Mus musculus: one gene and its partners. The protein of the gene in region 3 binds, or shares a complex with, the protein of the main gene of each other region. Links are inferred from orthologs where the notes say so. Each region holds a gene or a part of one and is shown on either strand. Other genes may lie near its edges.

Region 1 (4,400 bases), on a different chromosome or scaffold from region 3:
ATGAACTATTTTTTGGGTCTCACTGTACAGTCTAGGCTAGTCTGGATTACAAGGCAGTTTAGCTGCCACCTAAATAACTAACCAACCAGCAAACTAGCTAACTAATGAACTAATGAGGCATGCACCACTATACTTGGCTGACCATCAGTACTGACAACAAACTCTTATAGAATAAGAGATTGCCCACTGCCATAGTTTGAATGCTCCATGTTCTCATCTCATTCTCAAAGTATGGCAGTCAATGTTTTAAGGTAAGACCCCTACCAGAGGAAAGGCTTCTTTCAAATCATCTACAAGCCAGTTATCTAAAGGGCATCAACATTTTGATGTTTCTTTCTTTTCCTATAAAGAAACAAACTAGATAATGTGAAATAAACCACTGCGATATATTATACCCTTCCTCATTCGCTCTGCATCTTCATCCTTTCATCATTAATCCCAAGTCCCTCCGAGTCATTAAGTGGATGCCCACTATCAGCCATGGATCTGACTTTCCTCTGACTGTCCATCTACTGAAGAGGGTTTAGCTCCCATGGCAGACTCTAGGAATAAAGGACATCTTGCTGACAGCATCAGTGTCAAACTCCTTTCCTTCAGTTACTACAGTTAATTTGACAGGTTTCAAGAAAAGAACATACCTCCATCACCAGCTGGTGAGCTCTGGACACCAACGTGAGGCCATTGGCATGATTAAATGTCTCAGAAATATCTTGGCCAAAGGTATAACCAGCTCCCCGAGGAGATATCCCCCAGCCACCACGGTCATCTGGATCTGACCACAGCAAGTCACACATTGGACCCTAAAAAGCAGGTATAAGTTATTAAACTGACTTCCAAATGTGGAATTCTTCATTTGATAATTCACCAGAAGCAACACTCTACAAAAATCACATTCTTAGTATGTGTGCTGAACTTTTGCAGTAAAGGTATCTCTGAAATGAAAATCAATTCCCACAAGGCACACTGCACTCAGTAACTTGCCCCATCTGCCCGTGTATCTGAGTTTTATTATTAGACAGATGGGCTAGTGGTGACGACCAGGAAGGCTTCTAAACGTCTAATGAGCAATGGTAAGGAGCTCATGTCATTTCATTTTGAAACCCGAGTGAACATATGATAAATTATGCTACAGCTAAACGATTTTTGTTTTTCCTAAGGAGTGTCTGAGAATTTGTCAGCCATACCTCATGAGGAACTTCCTGTAGGCGATCGAGTGCTCGGATGTGATCCAGTGTGTCTATGGATGGTGACAGACCACCGTGTAGACAGAAGATCTAAAAAGATTGATTACAAGTGCTAATTACACCTAAGAGAAACTGAACTCTTTGGACTACACATTAGACAGGAGCTGACACCATTTAGCTACATCAGTTCTAGGCTCTGTTTCGATGAGGATGGACCCTGAATAACTGGCTATTGTTCGACCTAATACCAACTACAGAGTACAGTATCTATTCCTGTTCCTGACCAACCACCATCCCTGAGGTTCCTTCTAAAGAGTGTTTTTCTAGCTTACCCACAGTCCCTCCAGAGCCTGACAGTCCCCCTCACACTGGTAAACAATGCCTTCCATCTCCCAGACCCCTCTACAAAGAGCCCCCAAAGCTGAATAGGTTACATTTTCCACCCCATGATCTTATCCTGACAGTTCAGCACCTAGAAAAGAACTTATCAGTATTTAGTAATGTATCCCCAAATGGAAAATCACTGCCTGCTAAACACCAAGAAAACAATTATTGGAAACAGGAAGAAACCCAGAAGTGAGTTTTATGGTACACACACCTGCCCATCCACCAAGGCAGTGAGAGGAAGATAGTCAAAAAGGTCTGTGAAGTATTTCCAAACATTTGCATTTCCGTATTTCCTTAAACACTCGTCGTAGAACCCATAAACCTGTGTGATCTGTCTGCTCTCGTGATTCCCTCGGAGTATGGTGATGCGCTCTCGGTAACGAACCTAAAGAAAACGACAACAGATGCCAGCTCTTTCCAAAAAAAACAAAAAGCAAGACACTTCATACAACTTTCTATAGGTAAATCCAGAGTTCCAACTGAGAGGAGGAGGGGCTGAGAGTGCACATCTCTAAACTTCAATGAACTGAAATTAGATGATAAACTTTTTAAAACTGCTGTTGCTGTTTCTCAAGGGTGGGTTTCTCTGTGTAGCCCTGGCTGTTCTTCAGCTCAAGGAGATCCACCTGCCTCTGCCTCTTGAGCTCTGAGATTAAAGGCATGGGCTACCACAGCCTGATGATTATAAGCATTTTTAATTAAAGGTTTATAAAATGCTTACCAATATCTCAATTAAGACCAAACCCCCTGCACCATCTTGTGTGAAATAAAAATCATACTTTTTTCTGACCTTTACTAAATTTAGTTATGCAACAATTACCATAACTCAGTTTTAGAGTCTTGCCAAGATTCCTTCCCGATCTGCAATGGCCCCACTCTTCCAGCCGGACAACCACTCATTTATTTCTGTCTTGAGAATGACTTTTCTAGAAATTTTAGTGTTTCTTGTGCTGCATATCCCACGGAGCGCGAGCTATCCTGAGTCACCATGCTACAGCACAGATGAGGGTGTGCTCCTTTCACAGCTGCACACTAGCATCGGGGGAGGGCAGGCCACAACCCATGGTTCCTGTATCTGCTCCAGTTTTCCTGTTTCTTAGTTACTGAGCTCATCTGCTCACATGCTTTCTTTTCTCTTGAACATATTCCTAGAGTGTAGCTATTGGGCTACATGATCGATTTATATGTAACTTCACCAATTCTTTAAAGTGGCAAACTCATTTCACATTCCTTTTTTTTTTAATGGTTTTAGAGCTTTATTGTAGAAAGGCAGAGAGAAAGAGAGAAGGTAGAAAGAAAGAGGCCGGCCGGCCATGGCCACGTGGAGAGAGGGGAGAAGGAAGAGAGAGAAGGAGGGCTAGAGATGAGAGTAAGGTGAGAGCTTAAAGCTCGTTTCACATTCCTGACAGGACACTTGGTATGGACTGCAGCCACTGTCTTAGTAACCGACGTGAAGTTGGCACTTGGGACTTTAACGTAAGATTTTTCTAATAACTAATGATGTTAACTAGCCATGTCCTTACTAATCATGTATCCTCTAGTATGAAGTAGCCATCATGTACCCTCTAGTATGAAGTAGCCCTTCAGTACTTTGCCCATTTAAAATCAGATTATCGGTAGGCAACAGGGCGGCTTCCCGCTTGCCTCCTGCGGCCCTGACGCTGAAGCAGTTCATGAGAAGGCAGCAAGTTCTCCTCCTCTACAGAAAGATTTTGCGAGCGATTAGGCAAGTTCCAAGTGATTCTGACTAAAAATACCTTTAGGACTGGGCCAGGAAAGAATTTAAAAGAAACAAAAGTGCCATAGAAGAGGATACAATGATGATTACCCAAGGCAATATGCAGCTAAAGGAACTAGAAAGGACGCTTGCTTTAGCCAACTTGTAACTGAAAGATTTTCAGACCTCCATGTGCTTTGCACAGGCTCCAAGCCACTGTCACAGAACACCCAAAAAGGTGATAATCACTCTAATCAAGAATGTAAATGAAGCCGGGCGTGGTGGCACAAGCCTTTAGTCCCAGCACTCGGGAGGCAGAGGCAGGTGGTTTTCTGAGTTCGAGGCCAGCCTGGTCTACAGAATGAGTTCCAGGACAGCCAGGGCTACACAGAGAAACCCTGTCTCGAAAAACCAAAAAGAATGTAAATGAAGGTGTGTTAATAGTCCACTACAGTCAGTGGCTGTAATAATTAAATGTGAACTAATGTCAAGAAATAAACAAACAAATAAAATTAGATTATCTAAGGTTAGGCATGCTGGTCCATGTCTATAATCCTAGTATTTGGGAGAAGCAGAAGGATCAGGGTTTGAGGTTTCTTACAGCCTGATCCTGTCTCAAGCCCCCTCCCCCAAAGACTGCAACCAACTTGAGGACTTGAGGGTAGCCTTGGCTTAGAGACTGTACAACGCAAACAACACTCCCCAGAACCACCACACAACAACAATAAAAATAAGACCTATCTTATGAGATGACTGACAGTAAAGGTGCCTGTCACCAAGTCTGATTTTAAAATTACATTTCATTTATTGTGAGTGCACGTATGTGTCCTCTCATTTCATCCATGTGGGTTCCAGTGCTCAAATTCGGGTCATCGGGTTTAGTGGTAACTGTCTTTTACTCACTATGTCATCTCACTGGCCCAAGATAGCCCAAGTCATAAGACACAATATGGCTACATTTTATCTGTTAGCTGCCAGTTTGATTTCTAGGACCCATATGGTGGAAGGAGATAACTAACTACAAGACATATTTAGTGGTATGTTTGTACCCACACAGTGTTACACAAAATTAACAAGCAACTGCAAAAATGTTTAAAATCTGAAGTAAGGCT
Region 2 (4,263 bases), on a different chromosome or scaffold from region 3:
AGTCAATCACTCCACCCTGATTTGGGGAAATATTGCACATTAATTTAAAGAACACATGGCAAATTCAAGATTTCTTGCTACTTAAACAACCTAAAAGTTGCTTGCTTCTAACTCTAACAAAACTATAGGAGACCATTATGATCCCAGAATATATTTCTACATTATAGTTTTTGGGAAATACAACAAAACTATTCTAGGCTAAAGGGTCATGCTGCATGCTGTGAATGTGTTTTAGGTCCCTGTATAATTTCAAAGATGGAAAAGCTGTCTTCTTTAAATGTTGCAGCAAGTGCTTAAGAACTACATCTAGAAATAAAAATGAAAATAATTGGATAACGTGCTACTTCACTTAGATGGAAAGTGGCGGAGCAAGAATCAATAATCTTTGCTTGCTGAATGTGAGATGACTATCCTGTACAGCTAAGGACTGACAAATTAATAACTTGGGGAAGGCACACCATGCAAGGCAAAGTTGATCATTTCAAATATGTGATTCCCATTTCAACCCACCTTAATTAAGATCTAAAAATCCAAGAGATAGCTAGCTCCCATAATTAAACAAAGCAAGGAGCAATGTGACAATGCTCAACGGTGAGCACTTAGCAAACCATCTCTATCCAATAAAGTCAGAACAAATTAAATAAAGACCAGAAACCACATAAATCAAATAAAGTCAAGCCAAATGAAATAAAGACCAGGAACCCTTTTCTGGTGATCACACTGAGTAGCCCAGAATCACACAAAGTTGATGAAGGGGAGGCACCAGTGTGGCCGCATGCAGGCAGGCGCCTGCTCACAATGGAGAGAGAAGCATGGAGCCTCTGAGCAGTAGCCATATGTAAAGTTCTATGTCTCCACATAATAGAAAGCTGTGCACGAAGGGGGAAAGTTCACGTGTCGTTCCAAACCAGGCAGAGCAAAACCAGTTCCTATTGCAAACTACTACTTGTCCAGATACAAGCAAAGTCAGACTTCAATGAATGGCGTGTGGGGCAGAGCAGTTAGGGAAAAGAGAGCCAGAGATGGAGAATGCATGAGGAAAAAAAAGTTTGGGGCACTGGGAAAAACTGAAATGGATTAATACCACAAAAAGCCCCACTCTTTCTATTTTACATTTCTTTCCCTCCCCTTCCTGAGTCTCAACCCAGACCTGCCCTTAAATACAGGAGACATGTATGTCCTGTACAAATGACCCCTTTGAGGAGAAAGGATATTTTTAAAAGCACCTTTTTATTTTTATCATAAATACAATGAGACCAGTCAGCACATGCGGCAGTAGACAGAGACTCCAATTCACAAAGTTTGGACTCCTAGTAGAAGCGTAAGCTATGCAGTGGTCTCCACATTTCAGAACTTGAAATAATTTGTTTGTTTGACTTAGCATAGTTAGAAGATCATAAGGAACCCAGTCTCAGTGTTTTTAGCCTCTGACTTATAACTCATAAAGGGTTATTTAGGTTGCCATGGGGGATACCCCAAATGTAAATGCTTTAAAAAGTTAAGAGTGGTTAAAAAAACAACAAGATGTGTAAAACATTTGTTGACATAATTTTCTTTAACGAAACGATAGTATAATGGGAGGAGAACTGTATGGATTTTGAGTAAAATGTTGGGTCCCACACTTTTTTCCCCCTTTGCGCTGGACAAAAGCTTAAGTACGTGTACCAACCACCTTAGCAGACAGACAAGGAGAAAGGTATGTGGAGTCATTACCTAGGCCCTCAGAACAGGATCCTGCAGTCCTTGGAACACTACCCACTGAGCTAGGTAGGGGAGCGTGATAGAAGTTTGCTTCTAAGTGGCACCAAAGGGGAAAAGAAGGCATCTTGCTCTTCTGTCTTTGCACACAGGAAGAACCAAATTCAATGCCTCCACCACTCCTGGTCTCGCTCCGCCCCAACCTCTGTGTGTGTACCGTGTGGGGGCACCTCTTGGGTGTTTTAGCCCACACATTCCAGGACGCCTCTATCTCATCGAGGTTAAGTTCTGGGACTCCCCCACGCTGAATCCTCAACTGTGCCACGATTAACAAGCCAACAAGTACAGGTGCCTAAGGTTCTGGCCTATTTTTATACGTGTACTCCCCCCCCCCCCACACACACACACACCAACACCAACTGAGTCTCTCCCCAGTCGCCTCAATCTCTCCAGTGCAAAACACCTTCTAGCCCGGACGCCAGGAAACACCTCGAGCTTTACTTCGGGGTCACCTGGTGAGAGATCCGGCCCTGCCTTCAGGTTTGCCCCGTGGCTGCCCTGGTCCCTGGTGCCTGGTGCCCAAAGCGGGGCTTCGGAGCAGTCACGTGGGCGGCACGGGAGGCCTGGGCTTCCTCACCTGCATCCCAGGCACTTGAACAGCCACCGGTGAGTGGGCCATGGTGGCGACTGCTACTTCGCGCTGCTTCTGCGGTGGTGGCGGTGGCGCCTCCGGCAGAGACTGGCTCCTCCTACGGAGGTATCTCTGCAGCTCTACCAGGCTTCTCGATCGAGGCCTGGAAGGACGCAGAGAAGTGGAGTTAGTGGGCTGGTGGCTTGCAGCCTCCACTCCCCCCATTCCGCCCCCCCCCCCCCTGCGGGGAGGTGAGCGGTTCGCGCCGCTGCTCTCCCGGACTCAGTTTACCTACCTCTCTGCCGCTCGCCTGCCTGGCTTTTGGCTAACTGCAGTGTTGCTCTCTTTCCTGAATGCAGGGCTTGACCTGTGGCGGTGCCTGGGACCTGGGCTCCAGTGATGCCGCTTTGCTGCGCCTCGCCGCTTTAGGAAGAGGAGGTGGAGGCACCCCAGCAACCCGCCCGAACGCTTAGGCTGGGAGGCGGCTGGGGGCGGTTCCCCGGTTGGCCCTGCCTCCACCCCGCTGCCGGGCGGTGTCAGGGGAGCTGAGGCTTCAGGCTGCAAAGGGGGTTGGCTAACATAGCCAGAGTTGGAGACGCTCGGGGCTCTCAGGGGTTGCGGAGAGCAGCAGAAAGGCGGGATCGGGATCGAAAAACTTGGAACATAACCGAGCCTGGAGAAAGAACAGAAGAGTTTGCGGGAGTGGGGTAGGGGAGATGAGGGCAACCCGGATGAATGCGGCCACGTTGCAGACAGGCTTGCGAGGCTGGGGTGCTTGTAGCCTCCCAGAGGTCTGGAGTTGCAAAAGTTTTGCTTGGCTCCCCCACCTGGCCAAGGGTGGGGCCACCGAGCCAGACACCTGCTCCTTCACGCCTAAGTTCCTTCCCTCTTGCAATTTTCAGCTTCCTTGCCCTTAGATATGCCTCAAGTCACTTTAACCTGAGTCTGTCCTTACCTTAGGCTATTAGTTGAGGAACGGCCTGGCTGAAATTGCTCACAATTTCTGCGCGTGTAAAAGAGAGGCAAATTGGAAAACGGATCATGTATTGGCAGAAAACTTAACAACGATAACAGAGGCAAGGAGCATGAGATTACATCTTTCCGAGTATAGATATTTGAATTTAGCATGCAGCACAGTGACTTCTGCAACTCTCTGCCTTCTTCTAATTTAAGTTCAACTCCAGGAGTGAGGCAGACCCTTTCTGGAGGACCCAATAACACAATAATGACAGTGATAATAATAGCAGTCACAGGAGTCTCAGGGAAGCACCTATGTGAACACCCGGGCTACTAAAGGTTACAGGACAAAATAAGATCCAAGTAAATGTGTAAAATGAGAACTCACCTTGAAGTTTGCCAGATGCCCGTGCAACCAATGCACACTCAACAAATGCTATTCTTTTTTAAATAATTTTTTTCTCCAAGAACAGTATCTGGTTATTATCAACATTAGTAGTAGTAGTAGATTTCGTTTTCATTGCCCCAGAGATCCCGAAATTTACCCTCTGTATATTGTAAAGAGTTATTGTGACAAGCGCTCACTTGAGTCACACTGCCTTCTCCCCACTGAGCAAATAGATCAAAAGGCTCAGCCAAGTAAATATTTGACTCAAATATTGCAATTAAAAAGCAATACATCTGAGAAGTCCAATCTGGGCCCCCCTGCCACATACTACCTTCTATTAATATGGTAGAAGTATATTAAATATGGTATTGATTTTACCTTACTCTTAGTGCTCCAAGCCTTGGCGTTCTCTCTATTCTACCCAATGGTAGGCCCTGATCTAATGTCTATTTCTCACCAGCTCAAGTCATTCTCTACAATAGCCTACCCAGAAACGTTCAGTGCCACCTACCTGTAATGTCCACAGAGACCTCAAAAAAAAGTTTGCTTGTTTGTTTACTTTGTTTGTTTGTATGAGACATGGTCTTGC
Region 3 (4,400 bases):
GGTGATGGGAGTGAGAACTTACTGTCGAAGTTCTGCCTTCACGGCACTGGATACTCGGGGGTAGCAAACTGAGAAGAGACCACAGGCCGAGGTGCGGGAGGTGAACCAGTCTCCACCCGCCAGCCGCTTTACCAGAGGCACAAAGTGAGCCTCTAGATCGGAAGGTGAGTGCTCATGAGAGATGGCCCGCAAGGATTCTACCGCCTTGTCTCGCACTACTGTCTCTTCCACTGTGGCCAGTGACTCAAGGGGTGGCTGTAATAAGAACACAAAGTTAGAAACCAGTGTTTTTCTCACTGTTTCCACTGTGGAACCCTACCTCATGGCCTGACTGGAGACTCCTCTGATCTCTCACCCAAATTCTTGGGATAACAAGCTTCCTATAAGAATCTCTCAGGAGGTCCATGTGTGTAGCTCTCAATGTACAGTAAACACTGATAATAGGGCTTCAATACCCATGAACTAGGCAAGGCTATTGCATTGCTCACCTTTTTATCACACCTTCTATGTGAATCTTGTAAAACAGTCTTAATACTGCCCTCATTAATCAAAGAGCAAGTATCAGAAGTACACAGGTTATGCAAATTGCCTAAGCTGCTAGCAGCCATGATTACTTGGCTCTCCTTTTCTACACAGCAGGACCTGTCAGGATCAGATTCTGTCTGTGTTCCCAGCTGTCATTCAACAGAGGTTGAATGGTAAGGTATGGTATGGTATGGTATGGTATGGTATGGTATGGTACCATACCATGCCATACGGGTCCTGGTGCAATCAAGCAGACAATCTTGACAATTCATCTGTGTCATTTACTAGGTAAGAGTCCCAGATGAGATGGTTTAACCTCCTGATATTCTATGTGGTTCATCCATCAAGTAAACCTTCCAAACCAAAATGGTAGATGACACATCTTACCCAACCATGACAATCACAACACCTAACTGTGAATACTTACTATAGACAAAGTATTGTTTGTGGGCATGTAGGTCAGTTATCAGAGGGGATTTTAGTGGCCTCCAATTTACACAGGCAGACAGAAAGATCTGTACTCTTCAGAGTCATACCAGTAAATAACAGAACCTTGCATGACCCAAACTCACAACCTACAGGTAGAGTGCTACTGAGTCCTAGTGTGGTTAAGTATGCAGAATGGAAGGCAAGTATAGATTAAATGACACTACTAACTTGAGTTAAAGTTACATCCAAAGGTGATTCATTCTGAGGTCCTATTTAGCCTTCCTAAATCCCGTTTCTTGGTGTCCATAGCAGAACCACCTCTCTAACCCCAAGGTGGAGGAGGAGATTAAGAGACTTCACAGCTTTCACTCACCAGCAGACAGTGCACATACTCAGGCCCTCCCACCAAAGTTGTGAAGGTTCCCAGCTGTTCAGCCAAGGCCAAGAGGACCTCATCTTCATCATAAATGGTATCTGTGAAACAAAGATCAAGTCCATTAAAAACTCAAGCACAACCCAAGCTTCCTCGATGTCAGCACCCCTATCTCCCAACCTGCCATTTCTCTCCACCATCTACCTGGTGAGCAGAGTAAGCCCAAGCCCCATATCTGCCTTTTCTGCCCCATGCTAGGTGTGGGATGGTAGCTGAGTAGCACAACTATTCTAATCCTAATTGTGGCTTCTTCTCAACAGGGACAAAAAAGAGCACATGTATGCAGCACAGGATGTTCAGTGGAGCTTTAAATATGCAGGAACTCACTTTCAGGAGCTATGTCTTCAGCCAAGAAGTTGTTTTCTACCCTTTTGGGCTTGGTTCAGATACTGCTTCTTGCAGATTCCAAGCACCTAGATTAGGTCAGATCCTTTTCCTGAACTCATTCTCTCCCCCTCCTACCACATTTACTAAGTACCCCTATCAGGAGCTTTGATCATCTGTGCCCAAGACTAGATTTGGCATGCTCCAGCTCCTGCCAGAACTAGAATGGCATGTGAATGAAATGACAGGGAAACTAAGCCTGCTGCCCAAACTCAAAGGCCTCTCTCTCAAGCCCTGCCTCTGCTGAGGAAAACGCTGACCTCATCTGCTGTTCATCAGCATTTTAGCATTCTCCACCTTGGACTTGCCAAGATGTAGCTAAGCAGAACAGCCTCAGGAGAAACCTAGACTAAGGCTACTGATACCTCAACCTCACACTTCCAGATTCAAGAACAGCAAAAACACAGCTGTTGAATATGCCCAGCCTGGGGCCTTTCCCTAGAAAACTACGTTTGTTGATTTTTTTCCTCAAGAAACTAGCTGAGGGGCTGAAGGGATGGCTCAGAGGTTAAGAACACTGACTGTTCTTCCATAGGTCCTGAGTTCAATTCCCAACAACCACATGTTGGCTCACAACCATCGGTATTGGAATTCAATGCCCTCTTCTGAAGAGAGTGACAGGGTACACACATAAAATAAATACATTTTAAAAATAAGCTGAATGTCCTATGGATATGAGCTCAGAGGTCTTCAGTTTGTGCTTGCTGAAACATTATCACTGGTCTAGAAATGTGTCTGCCACTTGTTCTAAACAGTGTCTGAGCTCAGAGCAGAAGAAATCTGACATTACTTAGAATTTAAGAGCTCTTTGGTTGCCCACACTTCCAGGCTCCCACAGTTCTTCCTATCTGGATTCTCTCTCTCTCTCTCTCTCTCTCTCTCTCTCTCTCTCTCTCTCTCTCTCCCTCCCTCCTTCCCTCCCTTCCTTGTTCTCTCTTCTCTCTCTCTCTCTCTCAAAAAAATTGCAATTTTTAAATAATACACCTGGAGAGTATTTTCCTACTTAGAGAACTGCAATAGTAACTCACACATACACTGTGATTTCTAACATTACAATAGAAGGAGAAGAGCAAGACAGGCCTAAACCATGGCCTTCTGGCTACAGGGGCTTTGTTCTCAGACATTACCTTGGCGACTGGCTTGCAACATCTGTGCCTCCCCTCACACACTCTGTCTATATACACACTGTTGCTGCATCTGACTCCCTCTGTATTTCAGCACCATGTCCACCTACAGGATTAAACCCAAGAGGCTCCATATGGTACAGAATGGCAGTAAAAGGCAACCCTAGGTGGCTCTCCTAGTGTCCCTATTCCTGATAGCCTTTTCATGCCACTTGCATTCCCTAGTCCTTTACATTGGTTATTCTCAGCTGCACAGCTCAATCCTCTCAGAATCACCCACAGCACTTACTATACATCTACACTTCTTGTAAAACAGCCTTTCAACTAATGAGCTGAGCACAAGTAGTGGAGGGCACTCCTGGGATAAGGTTATAGCAGCTCATTTCAAACCTAGGGCTAAATGGCTTTTCCCCTATACCAATTTTTCATGTAACTACTTATCACAACAGCCTGCTACTCCAACACTTGTCTCTGTGTCAGAATCCTAAATCTTTTGGCTCCCTCTTATAGTTCATCAAAGGAAGACACTTGGTTTGGTACCACATGCTAACGTCAGATGCAAATACCTACTCTTGAGACTATGTGTAGTCAGACCTGTAAACTTGTCATTAGCTGTAGCATGTGACAAAGCACTGAATCTCCACAGGTCTCAGCTACCCATGTATCAACTAGGCCTTGGCCTATCACTTCTTCCAGGTCATCTACAGGAGATTATCAAATACAAATCACTTCTGTCCGTAATAAATAGCACTTAGAATCTTTAGTTCCAACTCTTAAGTAGACACGAGTACAGCAGGAGTAACATGAGAATAATGACAGTGGAAATTTAGTAAGGTGGCTCCCACCATGGCCGCCACTGTACTAAGTACTTGGTGTGCACCTTTGTACAATGAACTTGGTAAGAGCTAATTGAGCCCACTTACCACATGCCTTGCCCTGTCCCTGGACCTTCACAGGAGCCTTAGTCTTCATTTAAGTTACAGAATCATGCTTGTCTTACCCATGAACCCTCTGAAGCAGATGGATGTGAAATATCTTGCCCAAAGTCATACCAAAGGAAGTCAGGAAAGCAGAGATGTGAAATCAGACTCCAATTCTGCACAATTAACTAACCCTGCTAACTATGGAGCCTAAATATAAAATCTCCTTTAGTCATGTCCAAACATAAAAATCTGATGGAAATTAGTCACTTCATCGTTCTATGCCTCAACTTCCTCACATACAGATCAGCAACAGTAGCATTCGATACTTTAAGGTGTTGCTGTGAGACTGAGATGAAAGGCACTGGAGATGGACATTTAAGAGTATAGGCACCATTCTAATATACACGCTAACTCAGTAGCACAAAACAGGAATCCAGTGGACAGTTGGCATGTGACAACTATGTAATAAAAGTTAATGATTATTGCTCTTTAATGCTCAAATCAACAACAAAAATTGGAGATTATCTTCATTCTAGAATGAAAAAAATAATCTGCTAAACTTATCTAAGGTCAACACTAACA
Region 4 (3,638 bases), on a different chromosome or scaffold from region 3:
TGGTCAGTCTTTACAGTTGTAACACAACACAAGAGGGCTTCCAAGTCAGTCCTTTTACAGCTCAAAACAAACAGCATTCTTCTCCCTCTCTGTGAAGAGTAGTGCATTCAGTTGGTTGTTCAGCGGGTAGATGTCAGGTGGTTCCTGCTGTGTGAGAACCTGTCAAGTGAAAGGTACCATTACCGTCCCTGGACATGCACGTCAGCAACACCTCGCAAGCCTCTTAGATGTACAGTCCACAGCAATCTTTTTTTGTTGTTTTGTTTTTGTTTCTTTGAGACAGGGTTTCTCTGTGTAGCCCTGGCTGTCCTGGAACTCACTGTGTAGACCAGGCTGGCCTCGAACTCAGAAATCTGCCTGCCTCTGCCTCCCAAGTGCTGGGATTAAAGGCGTGCGCCACCACTGCCCGGCAGTTCACAGCATTTTTACCAACAGCATATCACAGGATGGAAGATGTCCTTAGTGTTTCAAAATCAGTGTCAACTAGACCAAACTTTGGTGGGCCTCTCTCAGCGTGCAAGGGCAGGATCCAGAGGGTAAGGGAGGAGGAACTGGTACATCTGCCTGTAACAGCTCAGGAACCCTGAGCCTGAGGGGCTTCCACGAAAGACTCAGTGTTTGCCTTGCCTGTCCCTTCACAGGCATGTGTCAGCTCAGGGCTCCCCATCAGTAGCAGGCACACCCTGGGCTTACAAGCATCCATGCTGTTTGGGGGACACAGAACCTCTAGGAAGCCACCAAGTAGAAAGGTCAGAAGTCAGCTGCACACAATGCTCTGTGTCACTGAGCCATTTTGCCACGGGAACTCTGTCCAGACACTGCCCGAAAATGAGGGTCCAACCTTCATGCATAATTCAAAGCCACAAAAGGCTCACTTGCCTCTCTAACTCCAAAGACAAAAATGAGAGAGCATGCTAACCCTGACAAAGGAGGACTGAACCAGCTGCTCCCAAGAATGAGTCCCAGGCTTCATTCTGTGGTCAGTACCCCCATGCAGATATCTTCCTGGGTTGGCGCACTGTGCTCACCTCTGCACACGCTCCACCAGGTGCACCATCAGCTTGTCTGAGATGCCAGGACAGGATTCCTCAGCCAGGCTGAAGGCATTCTCTAGCTCCTCCAGGGCACCCACGCTCCCACCGCTCTGCTTGTGCTTCTCTTTGAGCTGCAAAGAGAGCATGGACCTCACTGGCATCTTACCTGGATGACTTGGAAGACCTACAGAAAGCACAACAGCGCTGCACAGGTAGTGCACTTCTGCCTTGTTGATGGGGACTCTTGTGGCTCTTCCATCTTGAGGATCCTCTCTCCCCTGACTTGGGTTATCAAGAGGTCAGAACCATGTGGTTTCTTACAGACTGAAGGTCAAGAAATAATCAAGTGGATCCAGTCTGATTTAGAAACTGGCACAGAAACTCTTGAGTACTCTACAAGGACTTTTGACAGACATCCCAGATCAGACTATAAAGTGTCAATAACCATTTCTGGGACTTTAACTCCTGCATGTACTCTTCCCTAAGGAGTCATCTGCTCAGTCCTGGACAACACTACACAGTGTTCACAACACAGCCCTAAGTGGCTGCTCCTATTCTGGCTAAGGTCACTCACTCTCTTCAGGGAGAAACACTCGGCTATTTCCTTTCAACTACATCCTGTCCTCCGTCTCTGTGCTCTAGGTGCTATTGTCACCCACTGAGTGAACAACCTACTGTCTACAATCTACTTTCTAGCTTCAAATCCGTATGTGAACATTCATTCCTGGCCGCACTGTATTTCTGAAAATATTCTAACATCAGGCAACAATGACATAAGGTCATATAGCCACCAAGGAATCACCTCCCTGACCTAGGTCTGACCCAACAATCCTTTGTCTTCCTCTACGAAAGAATCATGTAGTGGTGAGGCATTGTAAAAATCAGTAGTGCCGTAATGCCAGAGGACCTTAGCAGGTCTGGGAACACAAAACGGTACTGGTCAGGTCAGTTCCTCCCGCGCTTTATGGTACAATCCTCAGGAAGCTGGACCCACAAGCCTGTGCATAACTAGCTGCAACAGACCCAGAAATCAAATAGATAACGTCCAGGCTCACGGCCACTAGAACACCACACACCATGGCTCTGCAGACAGCACCTCTAAAGAACAAAGCCAGTGCCCTACATGATCACAGGCTTAGCTCTATTCTCACCTCTCCAAAGACAGGACGGACTAGTGTGGACAAGCACTGGGACCTTGGCTGTCTCTTGATAGGCTCTGCAGGCTGCAAGGAGGAAAGCAAGACACTGGGTATGTGGAGATAAAGAGAGGCTCCATTTCCTGTCTTCTCAATCTGTCTTGAGCAGGATGACAGAGCACAGACCAGGGGTCAACTCCAAAAACTACAAGGCAGCCCAAGCCATCAGTTCTTATCAGGCCTGTCTGTACCTAAGCACCAGCAGACCCAGGCTTCAGCCTGACTCCTAGATAGTTCAGTGCCACTCTGCCCTGTCCTTCTCAAACTTTTTGCCCAAACCCCAGATAATGAGTGTTTAATATAGCCCTAGGTCACAGGCACTTTGGAGCTGACCTCATCAAAGCCTGATACACAGTAGTCCACATCTGCTGCCCCAGGAAAAGTGAGGCGGGCTGGTACATATGGGGCAGTGCTCTGGCCCAGGGCATGAACAGACCTTCTGTGAGCTGTGCAGAGCAGTTCCCTTGTGCAGCTTGCTATGTGGACTTGGCCGGATGGTTGGAGGAAACGTCCAGATGGGACCCTGCTCCCCATCCTCAGCCTCGCCATCACTAAAGAGGATAAAGAATCAGAAGAACTGATGGAGAAAGGGCAGGAAGTAAACATGGTACCAAGGTACATCTCATTTCTCTGAGGCAGCCTCTTAGCCTAGGATGCCCTAGACAGTGGACAGAACTCTGTCCAGGCTGCAGCATTTAGGTGATAGTCAAAAGGCCCTGTCCTCCAGCCTACAGGTTCCCTGCCCAGTACAAGTTCCCACTGTAGTAACCAAGCCCTGCCTCTGGAGAGAAGACCTCCACTGGCATCAAGCACCAGGGAGCTCTTGAGGTCCAAATGAAAAGAAAAAAAGAAAACATTCCTACATGTCAGAATCCTCAGAACTGGACTCCTCTCCATGCCCCTCAGACTTCCAGCGCTTATATCGGTCAATAAGTTCAGTGAGAAAGGAGGTCTTCTTGGTGTATCGTGTGATGAATTTGTGCTTCAGGAGCTCCTTGGCAGTGGGTCGCTGCCAGGGAGACAGACAAAGTCAGAGCTGAATTCCACCCTCACAAAAGACACAAGGAAGGACAGGTAAGGATGTGAAGGCTGGGCCCTGTCCCACCAAGTTTACATCCTCCCTTCATAAACTTCCCCAAACCCCTCAGCTGCCTGGGGTGGCCCAAGTGGATATAGGCCTTACGAATCGTGGGTCCTTATTGAGGCAGGCCTCTACAAACTCCTTGAAGGGTTTGCTGTGGTGGCCCTCCAATGTGGGTGGGTTGTTCTTGGGAATCAGGAACAGGACTCGCATAGGGTGGAGATCAGAGTTTGGCGGCTCCCCCTTGGCCAGCTCAATGGCTGTGATGCCCAGGGACCAGATGTCAGCCTAGAGAGTTATCACACAGGACAGTTGCTACGTGAAACA
Region 5 (4,095 bases), on a different chromosome or scaffold from region 3:
CTTAGAACTATAGATAGCTGAGTTACATACATTTACAATGGCCTAGGGGGAAGGTGGACTATACAATAGACTAAAATAGGAACTATGGCAAGGGCACGAAGCCCTTGACCCTGGTTTCTAAGATTAAGTGGATCTTAGGTGGAGCTCTTTTTGATCCCAGTTGTTAACAATGAATTCTATCACAGGTGGTTCCTGTTAGACCTTCTGTGTTTGTATTTCTCTGTTTTGTGAAAGAATCCAGTAACCTCTTTGTACCTTGCGGGTGTGTCACCCAACTTCCTTATTTTCTTCTGTATAAAAAGTTTGATGCTCGATTTGACAAATTACATTCAGATTCTACACAACCTCTCTTGTCTCTCTTGCATCTGTCTGTCATTCCATCCAACGCTTTGCCCACCTGCGACTAGAGACCCGTTCCACGCAGACAAAGGGGCCCAGAGGGTCTGCGGCATACACTGTCTTGCTTCTGAATGCTACATGAGCATTGAGGCCAAGGACATATTTAAGGAACATCACCTCCAACACTGCATGCAGAGGTGCTTTTATGATACACTGAACATACTCCAACAGGTCTGTATGATCCTCTTAGCAGCTTACTCGAGCCACAGCATCCAGGACTCAAATGTCAAGAACTACAATCGGCTCATTATGCACTGAGTTGCTGCTGTGAGTGAATGAGCTGTGCTCACTAAAGGATCTCAAAGCCAATTCAGACTAAGACAGAGACGCCCTGAAAACACTTCAGACAGAAGTGACTTCTGAAGAGACCGTCCAATACAGCTCACCTGGGAGCAGACAGGCACTGGCTGAGCCTTGTCCCTGGCTGCTGGAACCCAGGGGAGGTGCAAAGCCATAGCCATGTTTGCAGAGACAACCAGGACCCTGCCACTTAATCATCTGATGTTGTAGGAGGGTCCACTCAGAACAAAAGGCTGTGAGTGTCTACTTGAAATCTAGGTTTGAATTGACAAGGATGGCTAATGCACCATACCGACTTCAAAGGTTTAATACCAAGGAAAACAATGTAAAATATCCTACTAGATAACTGTTATTATAAGCTGATACAGGAAATTATCAAAGTATTACTAAAATTAATTTTGCTTGCTCCTCTTTATGTTCTTGATATAGTTTCTAGAATATTTAAAATTCTGTGTGTGAGAAGGCTGGGTGACTCGGCTCAGTGGTAGAATACTTGCCTAGCATGCTCCAGACCAAGAATTAAATCCCCAGTACCACAAAAATTCAGAGAGAGAGACAGACAGACAGAGAAACAGACAGACAGACAGACAGGGCACTTTCAATGTTAAGAAACAAATATCCAAAATCTTCACATTTGGGGCCAGCAGGTAAAGGTGCTTGTTGTGTGAGCCTCGCAGCAAATCCTGATCCCTGAACCAGAAGAAAGGCAGAAGGAGAGACAGGACTCCATGCACCACACACCTGTACCCTCCCAATAATAATCAGTAAAATATTTTTAAAGTAATTGAAATTCTTCCTCTGGCTCCTATTGAAGGAAGATAAAATATTGTAACTTGTGAGTTGTTTAAGAGCCCACTGCCCCATCTGGGACTGAGAACAAAGCAGAACAAGCCCCCAGGCAGGCCAAGGCATGGCTGTTGATAAGGCATTCCAAAGAATATCTTGGCCGTAAAGATGAAAAGGTATTCAAGGACAAATGGGGCTACATTATCTAAGTTCACACCATCTGGCCGGAACCTCCTTTCTGTTACCCCTTGGCGCCGAGTAAAGTCATATACATCAACTGGTTGTTAAGTGAACAAAGATAAGCCCCCAGCCCACAGGAACAAAGTCCTGATGCACTGTGTTCTTTCTGTTAATGTTTGAATAAGCCAATAGTGCGTCGCTATGCTGAATTCCACACCCCTAAGCCCCTTACCCCATAAAAGCCCCTGGCTTTCGAGCCTCGTGGCCGGCATCTGTTATCTCCTGTGTGGGATTCATGCTGGTCCGGAGCTCCGTAATTAAACGTCCTCATGTAATTACAGCGAGTTGGGTCCTCGTGTTTTTTTGGGTGCTCTCACACTCCCGAGACTAGAGTGGGGGTCCCCGAAAGGGGGTCTTACACTATCACATTTCTACTAGAGCTGGCAGATTAGGTGCCTCAGCAGGGGACAGATCCAGCAACAAGAAAAGGACCAACTGGGCATACATACATCATACTACCTGTGCCTGAGCTACTAGGGAAATCAAGTCGTACTTACCAGCCACTCATACAACATCAGGCAACCCTGGACCACATGCAAAACTCCTGAAGGTGACAAACAAAAGCTGTGTGGTGGGCCTGAGCCCAGCTACATGGAGGCCAAGGCCGGCTGCCAACATGGCAGGCTTTGGGGGGTGGGGGTGGGGGGACAGGTCAGAGGTGCTGACTGTAGGCGGGCCTGATGCTGCAAAAGAGTTAGATCCTTGAATTCAAAGAGGGTGGAAGGAAACCAACTGCTGAGAGCTGTCCTCGGATCTCTGACCACAGTGTGCACACATGAGTGCACACATCACAGAAATGCACACATCACAGAGTGCACACATCACAGAGTGCACACATCACAGAGTGCACAAGTGACACCTTACTATTCCAAGCAGAAAACAGAATGCAGGATAATAAACAGACACCCTTTCTGGGTGTGGTTCTGCTTTGCTCGTGACAAACCTCTTTTTAAATGAAAATCTGATGCCACTACAAGGAAATTCAAAGTTGTCTTTTCCTTTACACTGTAACACATTGTTTCCTTTAAGATTCAAATCAGGGCAATCTTAAAAAGATATTGTCTCCTCCTCAATGGCCTCAAGACTGGGGGCCAACAAGCAAACCATCTTTATTTTTTATGCCAAACAGTAATGTCTATTCAACATGGAGGCTACGTGGCTAAAGCCACGAGGTAGAGACAGGAGCTAGGTAGCTCCTAGACACCAGAGCACAGGTTTCTAAGCAATGTTCTAAGGAGGGCTTTTGAGTCTACTACACCAAAGACCCTGGTATCTGAACATGATCTTGGTGTGACTGAGGCTGTCTCTCTCTCTCTCTCTCTCTCTCTCTCTCTCTCTCTCTCTCTCTCTCTCTCTCTCTCTCTCTCTCTCTCTCTCTCCTCTTTAGACTGCTGCATGTAGGTGTTTTAAGGCATCTTGCATTTCTTTGGCAACGGCTACAAATACAAAGCTCCATGTTCCTTTCCAGACTCAGGTCTCCCATTTGTAGAATTCAGAACAAGACTTTTCCCTCAGGAGAAGCCCATGGCCCAAGGGACAACAGAGCAAGAATGAAAAACCCCAGAGATATACCAAGGTGCAGTCTGTGACAGTTCCTAGTCTAAGAAGCCGTGCCAGCACCACCAGGCTCCCCTCCTGCAATCCAGCCCAGCCCAGGGCCGGTTACCTCTGCAGCCGCTGCACAAGCTGTGCCACCATAGTGTCTGAGATCCCAGGGCAGGCCTCTTCCGCCAAGTAGATGGCTCCCCGCAGCTCTTCTATTGACCCCAAGTTCCCTCCGCATGCCTGGCTCTTCTCTTTCAGCTGGAAATGCACACAAGAGCAGTGTCATACACGGGCACAGGGCTGGGCAGCAACCACTCCAGGAAGAGACAAATAGGCCCTGCCAACACTGCCATGCCAGGCTGACAAGGGCCCAGTATGAGCTCTGTGGCTCACGAGTCACTCTGGGTCCTCATCTTCTGTCTCTGTAAGCAGTTACATACACAGTGACTCTTCCAGACCAGAACACAGGCAGGTAACTGCACACCTTCACACATGAGTTTGATGAACACTCCACCACTTTCTCTCCCTTGTGCAGCCTTCTGCTCACCCCTGAAAGTGTCATCAATGCCTACATGTACAACTGTGGCGTCACTGGGCAGCTACAGTGTGGGTCACCAAAGCTTCGTTCCTGATGGTTATGGGCTGGGTGCAAACTTCAGGCACATAGCCTTTGGGGTCAAGAGTGCTGCCTAATGTTCTCACATACACATGGCAACCCTGAGCTCTGGGACTCCACCACACCCTCCTCTGCTCTCATGAGTCATAACTGTGATTTAAGGCACCTCCCCAGCATGAAGACCAACTTCAAATCTGTTTCCTGAATGT
Region 6 (4,400 bases), on a different chromosome or scaffold from region 3:
CACGCCTTTAATCCCAGCACTCGGGAGGCAGGGGCAGGCGGATTTCTGAGTTTGAGGCCAGCCTGGTCTACAAAGTGAGTTCCAGGACAGCCAGGACTACACAGAGAAACCCTGTCTCGAAAAACCAAAAAAAAAAAAAAAAAAAAAAGAAAAAAAAGAAAAAAAGAAAACGAAAAAGTAAAAAGTAAAAATAGAAATGAGCTGCCATGAAATAGGCCTTGTGGCCCAAGCTTGTCATTTCAACCTGGGAAAGCTAAGGCAGAAAGATCCCAAGGTCAAATTTGCTTGAGTTAGGAAATAAACTCAAGACCGCCACATGAAACTATGAATCTACTTCAAGGAAGGGCGGGAGGGAGAGAGGATAGGGACAGGGACAGGGACAGGGACAGGGACAGAGAGAGGGAGAGAGGCAAGCAGGCAGGCAGGGTAAGTAAGTAGGTAGGTAACCAGGTATAATGCTGAATGGCTTTAATACCAATACTCAGGAAACGGGGAAGCAGAGCTTTGCAAATCCCAGGTAAGCCTGGGCTACATGGTTGAGTCCCTGTCTCCAAAAAAGGGTGTGAGGGGTGGGGAGAACCACTACTTCTAGAGACTGTAGTGTATCTACCTAGCTTGCTGTGTATAAGGCCCCTGACTGTGAAAACAAACATTCAAAGCCACAAACTCTACAATGTAAAACACATTTCCCAGGGACATTTGTTTCTAAAAGTTAAAAAAAAAAAAAAAACCCACAAAATCAAAAATAGTATAATTATGTTATTACTTGATGCAGGCACATGGACACACACACAAGGGTCTAAAGTACTACTTGAAGCACCTCAGAGAAGCTGTCATCCGGCGCCTCTGCCAAGCATGCCGTGCGTTGCAGCCTGGTTATGTTACTTGCTTTCAGAAATAGGTGAAGTTGGATACAGTGGGCATGCCCAGATTTGGGAGGCAGAAGTAGGCTATCAAGACTTCAAAGCTAGCCTGGGCTACTGTTTCATTACCTCCCTTGCCTCATAAATACAAAGAAAATACCATTTATGTAAAAAGAGAGGAAGGCAGAGAGTCAAGAAATTTAATTGAGAGAAAATGGGTCTCCAACGAGGCATGGAATCAGGAGTGGCAATGCTTTATGCACTGCATTCCTATAAACTCAATACAGAAAATCACAGGGTACAAGAGTGCACAGAGGGGGCTCTAAACATCTCCCACAGTGTTACCCTAAGTAGTCATGAGTCTATACACTGTGCAAACAGAAAGACATAAGTGCTAAGATTTGCTTCTATTAATAGTTAGATGAGAAAATGTGAGATTTCAGACTGAAAGTTTTAATAGACCATACACCCAGATCTCCAAGTATCATACCCACCTCTGCAATCTCAAGGTCCTGATTGATAAGCCAAGTCACATTTTACACACACACACACACCCTCAACTCTTAATTTATCATGCAGAACTTCAAAATTTGGTCAACATCTCACAGAGCTCTAACTCTTTCTAATACCTTTCCTTACAGGAGTACAACTAATGAGAAGATTCTTCTCCAACTCCTGCGGCTCATAGAGAAGAAAGTAACAAGCAAAGTTAAGGAAGGAGGGTGCTCTCCTAGAGATCATCCTCTGTAGAGTTGGAAAGGAAGTGGAAAGGAAATAAACATTTTTCTGAGCATTGGTTCTACCTGCCAAGTTACCATGTAAAATATTCATAACAGTGCTGTAACTCAGACACTGCTGCCTATGTCTGCTGGTAAGGAATAGTCAATATTCAGGGTCAGCCAAAGGAGACAGAAATAAAACCAGCCTAAATAAAAGTTAGTAGTACCCATAAATCTAAAATTTGCGAGGTAACAATATGAGAAGCAAAAGTAGTAGACTTTACATTCAGTAAAGGGAAGGGCCTATATCCTCTACAGGACACGTGCCCAGGTAGAAATAACTTTACATTCAGTACAGGGAAGGGCCTATATCCTCTACAGGACATGTGCCCATGTAGTACCTGAAAGCAAAAGAGGAACACTTACCGTTGGTAGACAATAAAAACTGGGCAGCATTTTTCTGGGGTAACCACCTAATTTTGTTGATCTTCTCTTCTATTTCTAAGCTTTTCAAGTAGTCAAATTCTGGCTCATGGCTCTGGAAGGTGCTGTAAACATTGTATTCTCCTCTGCTATGAGACTGGATTTTGTTCTACAACAGAAAAAAATATTGGACTATGTTGAGAAATATATCAAATCACAATCAACTCCAACAGACTGAAAATTGTAGATACCCCAACTAGGCTGCTTTATCGTATATGCTACTGTATTGTTTTCTGTATTTAAAGGCCTTAAAGGAGAAAGCTTTATAAAGAGTAAGAAGGAAACACTTAAGAAAGTCTCATTTAATAGGGAAACAGTAGACCAAATACAAACTGATTTGATTAACTTGCATATTAAATAGCATGGTTATACTGTTTAAGAAGAAAACTGAAAACCCATAGTAATAGATAACATTTAAATTTTAAAATTAGGAAGACACTGCTCAGAAACAGCTGGCTGGAACACATTTTGTCTGCTGTTATCTAATGTGATGGCTGGCCTTCTTGTCCTTTCTGAAGCCTCCTTTCTATATTTCACTACTGAAAAGCCCGTAAGAAATGTGCTCTCATAAATCCAACAATCCAAGTCCTACTTCAGATAACGTTGCTGCCAGTTAAGTATATAACAGCAGCCTGTCAATGCCTGCCTGAAACTGCTTCATGGCTTACTTTCCTGAGTTCTTTCTGGTCACAGGAACTTTACACACTGATGCTTAGTGCCAGTCTGCTGATCGTCCAATTGAAGGGATTTGATATAAACACTACTTGAGAAGTGTTTCCATTAACACTGGTAGCCTAGCAAAACTAAGAATTATAATCACACAATTTCATCTTGTGACCGATTATACAATTGGAAATACTTTCATAAAAAAATTAAAGTAAAACTTACTAGAATCTTTGGAAAAGTAGATTAAATGAAAATACAATTGTATGTAATCACTTTAATGAAAACCAAGTTATCAAGTAAAATATTTATAGTTAGCAAAATAGCCATCTTCTCGTCCACATCAGAAGAAACCTGTTAAATTATCTTGGAAACATGTGCTTTGGTTTGTTTCTTCTAGCAATGCAGCCGGACTGTTCACTTCTTCTTGCATACATCAGTCATTAGTGAATGGGCTGGTCAAAACATTTTCAGAACATACCAAGAGCATATCCAACTATGGGGTGTGTTGGTGTGCCACACTCATGTCAAATTCCATAATGTATTTGTTTTTTCTGTATACTCAAACATCACATGTTGTCAGTCTTACACACCTAAATTTACCCAAACAGCTGCATGAAATAATAAATGAATCTACAATTGAGTTACTATTATTTTTTAAGATCATATTTAAACAATGATACATAGTACTATGAATATCTAAGGCTTAAAGGGAACAGAATCCCCTATATCAAAAGTCTACCCTTCAAGTACCCAGTGTACAAGAGAAGCTACACATTGAGTTATTTCATGAAAACCATAAACCTATGAAAACATAATTTTCAGAAACAGAATCAGGATACCATCAAAGATTCCTCAAGAATCTCACACAAGGTCCACACCTGATCTATTTGAATCTATTACAAAAACATACTACAAACAAACAACCACTAGGAGTCTGGCAACTATAAGAAACATCCTTTCCCTAAAGGGAAAAATATTTACACCAGAAAATAGTATCTTAAGGTTAAAAGAAGCCACATGCCACTACACTACAGAAGAGAAACTCACTCCCAAGACAAAGTAATAGAATAGATGGCCTAGCACTGAAAAAGCAAAAACAAAACCCCTCAGACTCCAGACGTGAGCTTGCAGCCAGCTGGGCTTTTCCTCCAACAGAAGAACCAATGCTTAGGTTAAGCAACCATGGCAGCTGTTCTCTAATGAACCCACGACGTGAAAAGTATGAAGAAAAAGAAAAAGGTAAAGTGTGTTACCTTCAACACACATCAACGTCACGTGACTTTCTGGGATTCACTTAAAACAAAAAATGAGGCCTGGAGAGATGGCTCAGTGGTGCCAGAGGTCCTGAGATCAATTCCCAGCAACCACATGGTGGCTCACAACCATCTGTAATGGTATCTGATGCCCTCTTCTGGTCTGTCTGAAGACAGCATCAGTGTACTCATGTAAATAAATCTTTTTTAAAAATGAAATAAAATAGCCCTCATACATTTGACCATGTTCTGTGCTTCAGTTTTCTTGCATGGCCTTTTAATACACCTAATTTCTTAGTTTTTGAGCACCACAAAAATCTATTTTCTTTACCATGTGCATTATGCGTAAAATTTTGCCCAACAGAGTCACAAGTGGCTTATCCTCAACACCTGTACTAGTAGTGTCTGGAATGTAG
Region 7 (4,400 bases), on a different chromosome or scaffold from region 3:
TGTCCACTGATGGACGCTAGGCAGAAGGTGACAAAGGCAGAGTGCCACAGAGAGATGGCTATGACCAGCAGCACAGTGAACATGGCGGATGTTCCATGTTCCCACGCGATTCCGAGTTTTATAAAAATGCAAAGAAGAGTGTGATGGTGTGTGTATGCTCTCATCACACACAGACACACCCTTATGCTTGCTTCCTGGACGCCTATTAGACAGACATAAACTGAGCAACAGTGACCTCTGCAGGGGAGGATACAGGACACAAGAGTACACTGTTTTTTTCTGCAGTACTGGGGATGGACCCCAGTGCCTTGAGCATGCGAGGCAAGCGCTCTACCGCTGCGCTACATCCGCAGCCTGAGGTCTACTTACTTCTATACCTGAGCATTTATTACTTCTGCAACTTAAAAAACTGAAGCCAGCTGAGACTGGCCTAAAGGAAAAAGAAAAAGAAGAGAAGATCAAAAAGTCAATCCTGAGTATGTGCGGCTTCCAGGGTTAAGGGACAACACTGCCTCACTGCTCTGTTGCAGGACCCTTTGGATGCCTGTGCCCTTCTCTGCTTCTCCTGCCTCTGCAATGCCTTATGTGGCCCAGGGAACAAAAGAGGCGGAGAAGCCTGGCAATCTGGAAAACGGGCTCTATGGGTGACTGCCTAAGATCTCACTATGGCCCTCCATGCATTTATCAAATGCTCTTGGCACCAGTGAGAACCAGGGGCAAGTCAGCAGTTACACAGTACAGGGACTATGGGGAACCAGAGGACAGGGAGACATGAGTATAGTGGCAGGCCCATGCTCCCATAATATTTGTTTTACAGCCCTCTGGGGTTATTTGTGCCCACTTAAACTAGCAGTGGTTTGCAGATACTGAACTGAAGACAGTGAAGGTCGGCTTCCTGAGTTCTGTCATTTGTCTTAGACTCAAGTTTTAAAGTAGCTCTCAACACAGCACCTCAGGATGGATTGGCTCTGGAGATCTGTGGCTTTCCAGCAAGGTCCCTGTTACATAGTGGTGATTTCTGTAGTGCTGTGGATGGACCCTAGGGCCTGGTCCACAGTAACTAAGGACTTAGCCCTTAAGCCATACACTCCACTCCTTTAAGTTCTTAACTTTACATAATCTGACTGATCTATATGTGGGAATTGACAATACTTAGTAAAAGCATTACAAACCACAGGGACAGTTTAAACAAACAAACAAACAAACAAACCAGTCCTGGCTCTTACACATCATGGAGCACACCACTTGAGGGACTCACAGTACCTCTCCAAATATTAAGACTGACACAGCTCTTTAGCCCTCACCTCTCTTACTCTCTAGTCCTCCTTCTCTCTCTCTCCCTTCCCCCCTCTCTCCAGGTGGCCATGGCCGGTCTCTCTCTCTCTCTCTCTCTCTCCCTTCTCTCCTTTCTCCCCGCCTTTCTACAATAAAGCTCTAATACAATTAAAAAAAAAAAAAGAGAGATTGACACAAAGATGCAAATGTGAACAGGGCCACATTTCCTCAGAAATAAGATTATTTACTTCTCAGATATCCTAAAATGCTAAAATCTTTACAGTAAGAAAAAAAAAAATCCAGATTTGGTTAGAGGCTGGTGAACCTCTGATTCTGTTTGAAGCCTTTCTCTAGTCAGGAGGCAGGCCAGCTCACCTCTCAGAAGGCAGGCCAGTAGAGCTCATCTTCTCTGGGTTGAGCCCACAGCACTCAGGTACTACTACTGCTATCATTTAACTTCACTGTTAAAAATATTTTACCCCAACACTACTCTTTTAAAAGGAAATATCAGAGAGGCATACAGGGTCAAGTTTGGGGGGAGGAGTGTTAGGGGGTGCCCCCTGCTGCAAGCCTTTCCTCTATTTCCCACTGAGTGTCTGGGTGGAATACTGATAGTTCATGTCCCAGTGGGGACAAGAAGGACTGTGGATTCCTTGGGCCTATCTCCTGAGCCAAGTATGCTGTGAAGTCTCATGTCCCATCCTGTCCCTCCCTTCCCATCACTCACTGTCGCAGAAGCTGTCGACCCTCCTTCCACACCAATGGGCTGTTCTCCAGTGTGACCGACTCTACAGGGCCATTGGAGACTAAAAAGAGAGAAGAGGAAGATGTCTCAGTCAGGGCATGGACACTCTCCAGTCACCCCTCCATCTTCTCATATCAAGTCTGAATGAATCTGCCACCATCACAGGCCTGTCCCCATTTCCTGAGTCCCCTCCACCCACACTCCCCCTCCGAGTGACTCCTCTCCTGGAAGCTCTCCTGTTAGGCTCTTGACTGGCCCCTGCCAACCACGGCCAAGAATAGCAGAGCTGTGCCTCCACATGCACGGCTGGCTGCTGCTTTCTTATGCAAGGAGTGGGTAGTCTAGCTCTAGAGAATGAGCAAGCAGGCTGGAGAGAACCGAGGGTAGCGGCTATAGGTGAGCTGGCTGGGAAGCTAACTCTATGCATTGCTCATCTATCCATAAGGCCTGGCTGAGTACCTTTGCCATCCCAGTCAAGAGCGTACATCTCAGTAGCAGGGCATGAAAGGAAGACCTCACTTAGCCCTGTAGGCAAGAACTCCACAGAGCCCCAGGACCAAGCTCCAAACATCACTGGCACAACCGTGCACACTGGTGCCCTTGCCACTGGGCCCACCTGACTAGACACTAGTGTGTCACCCGAAAACATTCCCGCACTCCCATGGACATCTGTTTCCTCCTTCCAGAAGCTTAAGCTGCCAATGCCCACAGAATAAGCACACATCTATTCTGCTCTCTGCTGTGCCCTGCTCTATGACAAGAAGCCAGCACCTCATATATTAATTGAGGTGGGGGGGGGGGGTTAGTGTAAATGACTGAATGACAACCCAGTGCAAACACTACCTCTTCAATGAAGTTTTTCCTAGACTTTCCACAGCACACCATAAATAGTTACACTCATTCTCACAACAAAAGGATGCAGGAGATGCTGGGCCATCCATCATGTCCTTGGGAGGACAGCAAGATGGCAGACAGGTAAGGCTGGACACAGTCTGACACAGAACTGGTGGGAAGAGCCCCTGAGGTTGCAACTCTACCCCACCCTATGGCCATGTGCAACTTCTCTATGCCAAGCAGCTGCTCTGCTGGGGTGGCCGCAGGAAGTTGCAAGGGTGGGTACCTTGTTCTGACAGATCTGTCTTCTTCTCCCCCTGATTCAGGTCTGTACCAAACTTCAGTTTATGATATTTGGCCCTAAAAGAATAACAAATGAGCTGAGAGAGGAGAACAAACAGGATAAGGGACCACCTCAGGAAACCCGGGGCCTCCCTCATCAGCTCCCTGCCGCAAGCATCAGTTCTAGAATTCTCAAGGCTGTCTCCCCTCCTCCTGAAGTCTCAGTTCCTTCCCAGACGGCAACACCATCAGACTATGGCAAAAATAAGCAAGGTAGCTGCTGTGCAGAACTGGAGCACATAGTAGGTGTGCTCAAGCCACAATGCTGCTGCTGCCATTTGAATCCCACCCACTAGAAGCTCCTTTATACTCCTAGGGATGACAGCAAGAGGACAGTAGAGAAACTTCCTTTGCCAGCAGAAGTGTAGTTAGCAGCCTGCCACCTTGTCAGAACAGTGACCTCTCTAGCAGGGGCAGGGCTCACCTCTCCTGCTTTAGTGCATACTCCAGCATCTTGATCCGCCGCACCAGGTCCGTCTTTAGATTCTCTTGGCCTTTCCTCTCCCCCTGGAGGAAAGCCACCTGAGCCTGGGACAGAAAAGAAGGGAGGACAACAGGTTCAGGGGTTGTCTCCCTCCATATTCAAACACAGCTTCAACCCCTCCCCTACATCGATGTCAGGGTTCAGTGAGAAGAGATGACATGCTGGACCCACCTCCAAGGTCTCTAGGTATGTCACCCATAAAAGAGCTCAGTCTATAATCTCAGCATTCCCTAGGGATTGCTATGAGTTCAGGTCCAATGTGGGCTAAGACTCTACCTTTACAAAAAAAAAAAAAAAAGGCCGAGGAGTCACCTTTAACCCATGAAGTTCCAACAGGGACAGCAGAGCCTGACTTGGCTGTAGCCTTCTGAGGAGTTAGGTCAGGGATGGTGCTGGGGGTATTAACAGCCCTGGACTCCTCTCTCCCCCCATCAGCTGCTGTCCCTATGGTTGCTGGTGGAGGTGGTGTCCCACTATTCCTTCAGAGCATCTGTTGCTGGGAAGCGTAGGAAGCTACTTCTGGCACTCGGGGACAGGAGTAGGAGGCTGGGCTCAGCTCCCACTGCAATGCAGAAGAAGCTGTTCCAAGCTTTATGCTGCCCAAGGCATGAGAAGATGTGCCACAGACATGACCTACGGGTTCCTGTCAAGCTCGTCTGTCAGTCTGCTAGCTTGGGCTGCCCCAGTAGGCTCAAGTCTGTCAACATGTCATTTAGAGAC

The links.
Region 1: the proteins of Ppp2r1a (region 3) and Ppp2ca are in contact, whole or in part, in a cryo-EM structure (PDB 8UO5), measured with the Homo sapiens proteins. The link is inferred for Mus musculus from reciprocal best matches to the Homo sapiens genes PPP2R1A and PPP2CA. Residues at the interface, in NP_055040.2 of Homo sapiens: Trp257, Arg258, Tyr261, Met262, Glu297, His304, His340, Ala415, Lys416, Trp417, Arg418, His454, Val455, Tyr456, Ala457, Arg459, Glu460, Pro493, Asn494, Tyr495, Leu496, Met499, Phe503, Pro532, Val533, Ala534, Asn535, Phe538, Asn539, Lys542; in NP_002706.1 of Homo sapiens: Lys4, Thr7, Lys8, Asp11, Arg49, Pro51, Val52, Thr53, Glu67, Phe69, Arg70, Ile71, Gly72, Gly73, Lys74, Pro76, Asp77, Thr78, Asn79, Arg106, Tyr107, Arg108, Glu109, Arg110, Glu277, Leu278, Asp279, Asp280, Leu287, Phe289.
Region 2: Ppp2r1a (region 3) and Stk26 share a complex: the UniProt entries of both Homo sapiens proteins name them as parts of the core of STRIPAK complex. The link is inferred for Mus musculus from reciprocal best matches to the Homo sapiens genes PPP2R1A and STK26.
Region 4: Ppp2r1a (region 3) and Stk25 share a complex: the UniProt entries of both Homo sapiens proteins name them as parts of the core of STRIPAK complex. The link is inferred for Mus musculus from reciprocal best matches to the Homo sapiens genes PPP2R1A and STK25.
Region 5: Ppp2r1a (region 3) and Stk24 share a complex: the UniProt entries of both Homo sapiens proteins name them as parts of the core of STRIPAK complex. The link is inferred for Mus musculus from reciprocal best matches to the Homo sapiens genes PPP2R1A and STK24.
Region 6: the proteins of Ppp2r1a (region 3) and Ppp2r2a are in contact, whole or in part, in a crystal structure (PDB 3DW8), measured with the Homo sapiens proteins. The link is inferred for Mus musculus from reciprocal best matches to the Homo sapiens genes PPP2R1A and PPP2R2A. Residues at the interface, in NP_055040.2 of Homo sapiens: Leu10, Tyr11, Ile13, Ala14, Val15, Ile17, Asp18, Arg21, Ala41, Leu42, Arg46, Glu50, Leu51, Phe54, Asp57, Thr58, Tyr60, Asp61, Thr98, Val99, Glu100, Glu101, Thr102, Trp140, Phe141, Thr142, Thr178, Pro179, Met180, Arg183; in NP_002708.1 of Homo sapiens: Pro103, Gln104, Lys105, Asn106, Ala107, Phe110, Lys123, Arg127, Lys129, Pro131, Glu132, Gly133, Tyr134, Asn135, Leu136, Lys137, Thr147, Val149, Thr150, Thr151, Leu152, Arg153, Val154, Pro155, Phe157, Arg169, Arg170, Asn186, Ser187, Asp188.
Region 7: Ppp2r1a (region 3) and Strn4 share a complex: the UniProt entries of both Homo sapiens proteins name them as parts of the core of STRIPAK complex. The link is inferred for Mus musculus from reciprocal best matches to the Homo sapiens genes PPP2R1A and STRN4.

Annotation. Positions count from the first base shown.
Region 1 is NC_000077.6:52,115,543-52,119,942, reverse strand, and holds part of Ppp2ca (serine/threonine-protein phosphatase 2A catalytic subunit alpha isoform), read right to left. Parts: intron 3,458-4,400; exon of another isoform or gene 3,181-3,457; intron 2,946-3,180; exon of another isoform or gene 2,935-2,945; intron 1,957-2,934; coding exon 1,783-1,956; intron 1,275-1,782; coding exon 1,185-1,274; intron 801-1,184; coding exon 639-800; intron 1-638. UniProt on the Homo sapiens protein: Catalytic subunit of protein phosphatase 2A (PP2A), a serine/threonine phosphatase involved in the regulation of a wide variety of enzymes, signal transduction pathways, and cellular events.
Region 2 is NC_000086.7:50,839,908-50,844,170, reverse strand, and holds the start of Stk26 (serine/threonine-protein kinase 26), read right to left. Parts: upstream 2,801-4,263; 5' UTR 2,625-2,800; intron 2,493-2,624; 5' UTR 2,378-2,492; coding exon 2,336-2,377; intron 1-2,335. UniProt on the Homo sapiens protein: Serine/threonine-protein kinase that acts as a mediator of cell growth. Modulates apoptosis. In association with STK24 negatively regulates Golgi reorientation in polarized cell migration upon RHO activation.
Region 3 is NC_000083.6:20,951,643-20,956,042, reverse strand, and holds part of Ppp2r1a (serine/threonine-protein phosphatase 2A 65 kDa regulatory subunit A alpha isoform), read right to left. Parts: intron 1,429-4,400; coding exon 1,328-1,428; intron 256-1,327; coding exon 23-255; intron 1-22. UniProt on the Homo sapiens protein: The PR65 subunit of protein phosphatase 2A serves as a scaffolding molecule to coordinate the assembly of the catalytic subunit and a variable regulatory B subunit.
Region 4 is NC_000067.6:93,622,368-93,626,005, forward strand, and holds part of Stk25 (serine/threonine-protein kinase 25), read right to left. Parts: intron 3,600-3,638; coding exon 3,414-3,599; intron 3,279-3,413; exon of another isoform or gene 3,240-3,278; coding exon 3,094-3,239; intron 2,782-3,093; coding exon 2,667-2,781; intron 2,258-2,666; coding exon 2,186-2,257; intron 1,166-2,185; coding exon 1,029-1,165; intron 160-1,028; coding exon 120-159; 3' UTR 1-119. UniProt on the Homo sapiens protein: Oxidant stress-activated serine/threonine kinase that may play a role in the response to environmental stress.
Region 5 is NC_000080.6:121,288,589-121,292,683, forward strand, and holds part of Stk24 (serine/threonine-protein kinase 24), read right to left. Parts: intron 3,529-4,095; coding exon 3,392-3,528; intron 1-3,391. UniProt on the Homo sapiens protein: Serine/threonine-protein kinase that acts on both serine and threonine residues and promotes apoptosis in response to stress stimuli and caspase activation.
Region 6 is NC_000080.6:67,026,857-67,031,256, forward strand, and holds part of Ppp2r2a (serine/threonine-protein phosphatase 2A 55 kDa regulatory subunit B alpha isoform), read right to left. Parts: intron 2,175-4,400; coding exon 2,009-2,174; intron 1-2,008. UniProt on the Homo sapiens protein: Substrate-recognition subunit of protein phosphatase 2A (PP2A) that plays a key role in cell cycle by controlling mitosis entry and exit. Involved in chromosome clustering during late mitosis by mediating dephosphorylation of MKI67.
Region 7 is NC_000073.6:16,821,820-16,826,219, reverse strand, and holds part of Strn4 (striatin-4), read right to left. Parts: exon of another isoform or gene 3,993-4,400; intron 3,725-3,992; coding exon 3,621-3,724; intron 3,215-3,620; coding exon 3,141-3,214; intron 2,082-3,140; coding exon 2,003-2,081; intron 1-2,002. UniProt on the Homo sapiens protein: Calmodulin-binding scaffolding protein which is the center of the striatin-interacting phosphatase and kinase (STRIPAK) complexes.